2 linked regions of the Rattus norvegicus genome follow. The protein of the gene in region 1 purifies or fractionates together with the protein of each later gene. This does not show direct contact. Links are inferred from orthologs where the notes say so. Each region holds a gene or a part of one and is shown in the gene's direction. Other genes may lie near its edges. The genes, in order: Ptprr and Mapk14.

What was found.
Region 2: the proteins of Ptprr (region 1) and Mapk14 purify together in Homo sapiens (affinity purification with mass spectrometry; 4 studies listed by BioGRID and IntAct, counting the BioPlex papers as one, with this or other methods). This does not show direct contact. The link is inferred for Rattus norvegicus from reciprocal best matches to the Homo sapiens genes PTPRR and MAPK14.

The regions. Positions count from the first base shown.
Region 1 is NC_086025.1:53,547,124-53,551,530, forward strand, and holds the start of Ptprr (receptor-type tyrosine-protein phosphatase R isoform 1 precursor), read left to right. Parts: upstream 1-1,518; 5' UTR 1,519-2,001; coding exon 2,002-2,059; intron 2,060-4,407. UniProt on the Homo sapiens protein: Sequesters mitogen-activated protein kinases (MAPKs) such as MAPK1, MAPK3 and MAPK14 in the cytoplasm in an inactive form.
Region 2 is NC_086038.1:6,749,970-6,754,408, forward strand, and holds the start of Mapk14 (mitogen-activated protein kinase 14), read left to right. Parts: upstream 1-1,389; 5' UTR 1,390-1,709; coding exon 1,710-1,825; intron 1,826-4,439. UniProt on the Homo sapiens protein: Serine/threonine kinase which acts as an essential component of the MAP kinase signal transduction pathway.

The DNA.
Region 1 (4,407 bases):
ATAAAATAAATTATAAAAGAAATCCGTGGCACTGCCAGAGCACCCAGAGCCTTTGAGGTTCGTCCTAATTTAGGTTCTGTTGGTTATTTTGTTTCCTATTAGCTGTCTCAGTCCTTAGGGGATGCAGGGAGAAAGCACTGAATGAGCCCTGCAGTTCAATTCAATGAGCACTTATTACTACCTCTGATTTGGCCAGCACGACTTTATTCAATTTAAGTTAATGCAAAATTCAGAGCTTCTCAAGGAGCCTGCAGTTGGTGAAATATGCGTCACAGATAAATGAACCATTTCAGAAAAAAATATATACATATATATGTACATACACACATATAGTATATACATATACACATACATATACATATACACATACACATACACATACACATACACATACACATACACATACACATACATATACATATACATATATATATATGTCAGTGCTCAAAAACCGGGGAGGAGAAAGAACATTATAATCTCAGGTTAGCCCAGAGCTTTCTGGAAACGTGAGAGCAAGTTTAGACCTATGTAAGCTCTTGTGTGGCCGTGTTCTGACTGAGGTCCGTTGCCAAAAGGCAGCAGGGAAACCTGCGGACAGAAGCATAAGGATGAACAGTCTTGAAGGGAGCCTCGCTGAGGGACATTTTGGCTTAGAGTAATTAGTCACTAGATTGGTAAGGATCTCCATCCTACCAACTTAGATAAAGAGAGTAAAAGTACATATATTCTGCACACCGTGGGGTCCTCGTTAAAGATACAGGGCTAGAGCTCAGAAGTAGAGTTAAGATAAAAAGGCCGGAGTGGTTCAGCTGTTAAGAGCACTGCTTCTTTTCCCAGAAGGCCATGGCAGCTTGCAACATGCCTAACTTCAGCTCTAGGCTTTCAATAACCGCTTTAGACCTCCAAGGGCATGAGGCACAGGCTTGATGAACAGACATGCATGCAAGCAAAATAACCAAGTATATTCACTTTTTAATTAAATAATAGAACCTTAGATAACTATTTCCATAAACTACCAAAGACCATTCCTTTCCTTCAAATTACATGGGCGTACTTCCCTACCCTGTAAGTATGGCCTCCTTATTTTCAATCACTACAGTCATAGACTTAGGGCTTGAATCCAATGGAAGTACAAAGATTGGAAGAAGCCTGGGGTAAGCTAATTGGCAAGTAGGGGGCGCCCTCAGAATAGCCAGTTAGCTTTACACAGCAGGCTGTTAGTGAGAACACTTGCCCAAGCAGGCCAGGACTAACTGCTTGCCTATACTTCAGTAGGGTGGAACATACTGGGAAGTTGGTCGGCCCGCAAACATTTAGTTGCAACAGTGAGGTGAGTCCCCACGCGTGAATCAAAATGCGAGGAAGGAACCAGATGAGTGGCTCCCTCCACTTCCCTCCTTGGGTCTCTGTGGTCCTGGCCCCGCCTCTTCCCGCCCCACTCCACTCCTCCCCACGCCCAGATTCAGGAGGAACGCGCGGGTCCCTAACGCTAGCCTCCAGCCCCTCCTCCCTCTCGTGGAGCTCGTTCCCCTCGCAGCCTCAGCTAAGACCCGGAGAGGTGGAATTTCGATTTGAAACTCCCTAGCCAGGGCCGGGGCTGGGCATGCTCAGTGCCTCGGTGTATCGGGCTGCTGCTAGCTGCACAGGCAGCAGAGGCGCTGCCTGGCTTGGAAGCTGGCACAAGAGTCCACCCCACTGTCACCACCGACTGCGGGCTTCAGGAAGGCCAAACACTCACCTCCTCTGAGCGCTTTACACCCACCAACCTCGAGTCCCCATCTCCCGCAGCATCCTACTCTCCCGTCTCCCCATCCCTTAGGGAGACGAAGCCAGTGCTCGGTTCTGTAGGCACGCCACAGACTGCTCTGTGAACCCCAGCGGAGGACCCTGTCATCGGATGCCTCGGGATCAAAGGACTCTTGGCAGTGTTTCTCTCAAATAGCACTTTGCCTGGAGTGGGATTGCGGTGGAGTTTCTCCCCCGCCCCTCAATGCACACACTATGAGGAGAGCGGTCGGTTTCCCTGCACTGTGCCTGCTTCTTAATCTTCACGCTGCAGGTAAGGGCTTGCGGGGGTTCAGAGCTGAAGCTGAGGATGAGATGGGAAACAGCACATGCTTAAGGACTCCAGGGGAAGCTTACCTAGCAGAAGAAGGTTTGGTATAGTCTCTGAGGGGTGAGAGAGTGCACCTGTTGGAAGGCTGGGGCTGAAAACTTAGGCTAAATTCAGCCTTTCCTTTTTCTTTATCTTGCATAACGAAGAGTGAACATTTTAAATGTGTATATAGATTTGCTTTCCCCTCCATCGAGCTTTCCTGCTTGCGCTTCTAGGCTTTGCACTTGGTTGCACATTTTACAGGAAAAGAGATGAGACATCCTGCTGGATGGAGTCCTTTCTACTGCAGCGGCTACATCCATAAGCTCTCCCAGTTTAGTGAGCGCTCACGGGGCTCTGTCTGTAACCTGATGGTCTACATCTCCGCCCCTAAGAGCCAAATGCATGGTTTATTAACAATGCTGCCCCAGGCTGCTTTGGACCCTGCTCTTGTCACTCGGATTTTCTGAACCAATAAGAGTAAGGAAAGGTTTCAAACGGGAGGCTCTTCTCTATTTCAGCACCACGGTCAGTATCCGCAGTCAGAATAGAAAAACCCAACCACACTTACAAGCCTAGGGTTTATCACTGTCTCCCCAGGGGGAAATTCGATGGAAGATAGCTAGGAGTGCAGTCACATAAAAATAGGTTGGACACAAGAATCAGTATCTAGTTCTAGGGATGCAAACCTGATAAAGTGCCTAGGAATTTTATATCCAGCATCACCTGGCTCCTCTAACACAGTGGATAAGCTTGCTGGACTGCATCCTGTATGATTTTCACACATGTGAACCAAAATAAAACATGGCAGAGAGGTTTGAGGAACCCTGCCGTGACCGCAGTTGTCCAAGCAGTAGCCCTGTAGCAAACGCAGACCTTTTCTTTGAGTTTCTTTCACACACATTCATTTCTCTAAGTACACCGAGTGGGAGTGCATTGTGTTACTGCGACCATAAACACACACACACACACACACACACACACACACACACACACACACACACACACTAGCTGGGAAACTGCAATCTTTGCGGTAGTGTTCCAAAAGCCTGAGTGCTTTTTTTCCCTGTATGCAATAATGGGAGTGAAATGTAGTACTTTTCTGTCCTAGCTATTGCGATTTAAATGCATTATGCATTTAGAAACAGACGATGTATAGGAACAATAAAGCTATAATTAAGGATGTATGTTAATTATTATAATTACAATATTACATTGTGGAGTCTTCAGTGGTTCTCTGGTATCTTGAATACCAGTGGGAGAAGAAGCTATGACTTGGTTATTAAATTATTTGCAAACAACTGTAATGAATCACTTCTCAGCCACATACAATTATTTAAATGTTAAAGTATATGACGATTACATAGATGCTGTTTTTGCTTTATGTCCAATACTATTTAGTGGTACAATTGACAAAAGTAACCACTGCCAAAAAAAGTTTTCATTGCTACCAAGTTAAGTAATTAGTTATCTGATAAAACACATCGATGTAATTATTCTTTAAAAAAGTATGCATACACAAATGTTGACAGTTATGATTAATGCATGCCAGGGAGTTATAAGCTTACAATTATACACAGACTTTATTATAGGTCTGGAGAAAAGGTTTCTAATTTATTATGGATGAACCCTGGGGATAAGGGAAAGAGAGGACGTCTGCCCACCAGAGGTGAAACCTAGAAGTCTGCAGCCCTCCATGATTCCTGGAGCTTTGCCAAAACATGTATTACAAAGGTCAAAGCAAATCTATTCTCTACACTTTGGCCTCTTAACTTGCAGAAAAGATTAAAAATAAGATTACCCAGCCAATTTTAGTTTCATAAGGCAACAGGTGATTTGCTATATATTTCAGATTTCAGTGGCATTAATTTGTATTATTTTTTGTATGTAATACGGTGCTCTGGAATGGTATTTTTTCAAAGCAGATTGTGGGTCTGATGTTGTAATTGTCATCTTGCCAGTTTTGTTTTGGGTTCATTTTAATTTTCAACAGCAATTTGTGGGTCAGAAGCTGTCATCAGATTAAAATGCATCGCGGTTATCTAATAGCACTGTTTGGGCTTTTCATCAGAACTCAGATAAATATAGCTTTCTTGATCTATGCTCCCACAGATTTAGGTAATAAGAAAATAAGTGGCTAGGAGAGCACAGATCAAGAAGCCTCGAAGCCTTTTACTTGTTGAATATCTGAGTTTATCTCTCATAAAGAGAGCCACATTCAAGGGACAGAGGCTGACTTTATTTTTAGAAAGGACAGTGACACCTGTGCACCTCAACTGCCCGGATGAAAAGCTAATTGCCTGATATCAGTC
Region 2 (4,439 bases), on another chromosome or scaffold:
TCTTTTTTTTTTTTCTTCTTTTTTTTTTTTTTTTTAAAGATTTATTTAGCCGTCTTCAGGCACACCAGAAGAGGGCATCAGATCTCATTACAGATGGTTGTGAGCCACCATGTGGTTGTTGGGAATTGAACTCAGGACCTCTGGAAGAGCAGTCAGTGCTCTTAACCACCGAGCCATCTCTCCAGCTCCCTCAATTTAAGTTCTTAAAATTCTCCCAATTTTTCCTTTAAATTTCTAAATTTTGGATGGTTCTAAATTGGCAGGAGTCGGTCTCGAACCGGAGTCATGGGCTTTGGGGTGTTCCAGATATGGTCTCATAACAGCCCAGGCAGGTCTCTTAACTACTCACTATATAGCAGAGGCTGGTCTCCTGGTCTTTCCAAACGCTGGAATTACAGGCTACGTAAATCTAAATAAATACATCAAATATATGAGAAGGGTCTCTTGGTCTTTCCAGATGCTAGAATCACAGGCTGTATAAATCTAAATAATTCAGTAAATAAATAAAATCAAATACATGAGACGGGTCTCCTGGTCTTTCCAAACGCTGGCATTACAGGATGTGTACATCTAAATAAGTAAAATAAATGAGAAACTTTCCTGAAATGGAATGACCTACCTGCAGAGAGAGAGAGAGAGAGAGAGAGAGAGAGAGAGTGTGTTTCCCTTCCAGTCATGGGTATCGAACCCAGGGCCTTGCAAACGCAGGTCTCAGCCTCAAAGTGGCCATTCCTGACGTCCACCTCTGACCTTGTGCATCGGACTCCCTAGTGGGTCCCTGGAACCTCCTCCTACACCTTCCACGGTGGTTCTTCTGGTGAGGACATTTAGAAGCTGCTAGGAGCGTCCGGCGGGAGGGAGAGCCTGGGCTTTGAGACCGGGTTAATGTTTGCCTGGGTGGGGAGGGGGACAGGTTTCATCAGCGTCCCGAGATAAGCCACGCGTCCTTGAGCGGATGGGAACGCAACAGCTTTCTGGACAGGGCCAGTCTGCTCTTGCAAATCTTTCTTGGAAATCGCCGGCTCCGGTGAGCAGGTGGCTCGGAGCTCAAAGACCGCTTGGCTCTCTTTCCCCCCCCCGACGCCGTCCCAGTGGTTTTCCGCCACGGCGCCGGGCATTCGCCGGTCCGACCACAGAGAGGCGCGCGCGGCCTACGCTGCGGTCCGCCCCCACCCTCGGCGCCCCCCGGGAGCAGAGTCTCCCCTAGAGTTCCTGCCTCAGCTCCCGGAGCCGTGTCTCTCTTCTCGCGAGATCTTCCCGTCCCGCGCGCTCTTCTCGAGCACCCCCGCCCCACGGGCAGGTTCCATATTGGGTAAGATCTCGGCTCGCGGAGCTGTTCTCGCGAGAGTCCTGCTAGAGCCTCCCCGGCCGCTGCCTGCGGGGAGAGGGGGGAGATCGCGGCCACTGGAGCCCGAGCGGGCGCTAGAGCGCGAGCGGCTGTCGCGCAGCGTCGGCGTGCGCTCCCCAGGGAGCGGCTGCAAGGGGACCGCGGCGGGAGCTGCGTCGAACCGTGCAGCCGGCTCCCGCTCGTTGCCGAGGCTCGTAGGTGCCGCCGCGGCTGACAGGAGCCGTGGGTCGCAGCCTCCACACCTGCGCGGGCGCGGGGTCGGGTCTGCCGCGGGCGAGCGAGAGGGCGCAGAGGAGAGCGTGCGGCTGCAGGCAGGGGCCCTCGCTCGGCCACCTCGTCGCCGCGCTGCCGCCGCTGGAAGATGTCGCAGGAGAGGCCCACGTTCTACCGGCAGGAGCTGAACAAGACCGTCTGGGAGGTGCCCGAGCGATACCAGAACCTGTCCCCGGTGGGCTCGGGAGCCTACGGCTCGGTGTGGTGAGTGTCGCCGGGCTTGGGGTTGGGGGCGGGGGTGGGAGGGAACGTGGTGGAGCAAGCAGGGTGGCCCTGCATGCCTGAGCGCCAGGCCTGTCCCCACAGCTCAGCGATGCGCCCAGCGGCAGGAATTCTCCTGCGGGCGTGTCTTGGGGGTGCAGGGGGCAGTTGGAGCGGGACGTGTCCTGCACCCCTCGCCCTGCACACTCAGGTGGGTGGGGAACCGTGTGCGGGATCGGGTCAGCCGTGGGCGCGGTGTGATGGGGCTCCACCCTGTGCTCTCCATGCTCGCAAGATCGTTCCTCCCGGGGGTCCCTCTGCAGCCGTGCGGCCTCTGGACCCTGCCTCCGGGTACCGCCACTTGGCACGCAGGAGCCCTGCCCCGGGGAGCGGGCGAGCTGGGCGCAGCTCCGGCGAGGAGCAGTAGGTCAAAGCCTGACCCGGGGACTGCGGTCACCTGAACGAAACTTGCAAGAAAAAGCGCTCCCTTTCCCGGAATTTTTTTTTCTCTTTCTCAGTTTTTCCCTCCCATTTAACCATTTTTGCAAGCTTCGGTCGAAAAACCCAGAATCGGGAAACGTTCTTTTGGGATTCGCACCTGAATTAGCAGCACCCCGAAGGGCTTAAAATAATACCGACTTTATCTCGGGGACCGCGGGGTGCCAGCTTGCCGTGGTGTGTTTCCGATTCGGTTGAAAGCGTATTTCCTTTTCGGGGAGGGAGGGTGGCAGTGCCTGCAAGGACGCTCCAGCTCTCAGCTTAGTCACACAGCGCTGCTCAGTTCAGTATTGTTTGACAAAACCAGTTTTCCATACGGAGCCAGAGTGGTTCTGATCTGTTGGGCGCCCCTCAAAGATCAAAAAGGTGGGACCGAGTGCTGGAGTTGTAAATGGTTTTTAATTGGGATGCTTTTCTTTCTTTAAGCCCCTTAGAAGATTTGCAGGGGGCTTTAAGCTTGTAAGCACCGAGGCACATGGGGGTTTTTCGGGAGAACCTGGCCGCAGAAAACGATGCCTTTCAGCTTTCATTAACACTTCGGCTTTTTGTTTGAGTTCGTTTGAGACAGAGTCTCACTATGGATGGCCCTGTCTGGCCTGAGCCTCAGTGGCTAGACCAAAGCCTGGCCTGGAACTCAACAAATTTTGTCTCCTGCCAGCGCTGAGAATAAAGGCATTTGCTACCACACAAGGCCCTGGGAGCAGGTTTCAGATTAAATTTATACAGTCAAAGGTCCACTCCAGAAATGTCAGGGACTTTCAAGGATTCATATAGTCTCATTTATTGGGACTCAGTGTCAGTTTAGACCTCCCTATCTGAAAGTAAAGACCAGACTCAACAGACTAGACTCTTCTGCGTTTTAGTGATTTATATTCACGTTTCCCTGAAAGAGCCTGTGAAATGTTTTTTTTCCCCCCCTTTGGAACAAATTCTAGGCTTCTGGATGTGTTAATCTTTAAGTATGAATCCTGTGTTACTTAAAGTCACATCGTGAATTTCCTGTTTGGTAGAATCTTCCTGGTAATTGCGATTGTGCAACCATGTCCGGCAACAGATCATATTGCGTTTGCTCGTTGGAGCTGCCTAGGCTGTGCTGCTGATAGCACCAGCCCTGACCTCTTTCCCCCAAGTTTACAGACTGGCAGTTTGCATTTTAAAGGGGATGTCAATAATTTACATCCCGTGTTTGTGATTGGTTTGTTTCTCTAGTACTCACCAGCTCCCTCAGTATCTCCAGTCTTCATTGCTCACTGTTACAGCATCAGGCTTTTGTCCCCATTTGGATGCTTGGGAAGGATGGAGCAGAACTCAGGGCTTCTGGGAGAGGGAACTTGCAGGGTTTCCTAGGGCCACTGCTGCCCTGGCAGAAGAGCCAGCTTTACAGTGACTTGCCACAGTGAAACCAACACCACTTCCTCTAGTGCTGTTACTTTCTTGCAATGGGATTGAGCACAGCCTCCCAATGAGATAGACTTCTACCAAACAGTTTCTTTTTTTTTTTTTTGGTTCTTTTTTTCGGAGCTGGGGACCGAACCCAGGGCCTTGCGCTTCCTAGGTAAGCGCTCTACCACTGAGCTAAATCCCCAGCCCTTACCAAACAGTTTCTTGAACATAGGTAGTGCTGGCCTAGTGATGTAACCATGGCACAGTCCTGGCCTTACACTGCAGCAGTGCACAGCACAAAGCAGGTCGCTTGAAATAAGGGTCAAAGAGGTCTGCAGCAAAAAAAAACAAAACAAAAAAGAAAAAACCCTGCTTTCAGCCCTGCCTTCTAGTCTGTCAGTTCCTTGCCTGTCTTCCAGAGACACAGACATTTTTTTTTTAAATTTTTAACATTTATTTATTTATTATGTATACATCATACAGCTTTCTGCCTGCATGTATGCACCTGCAGGCCAGAAGAGGGCACCAGACCTGATTATAGATGGTTGTGAGCCACCATGTGGTTGCTGGGAATTGAACTCAGTACCTCTGGAAGAGCAGACAGTGCTCTCAACCACTGAGCCATCTCTCCAGCCCCCAGGGATTTTTTTTTTTAAAGATTTGTGTATGTGTTACATATGAGTACACTGTCTTCAGACAGACCAGAAGATGGTATTGGATTCCCTTACAGATGGTT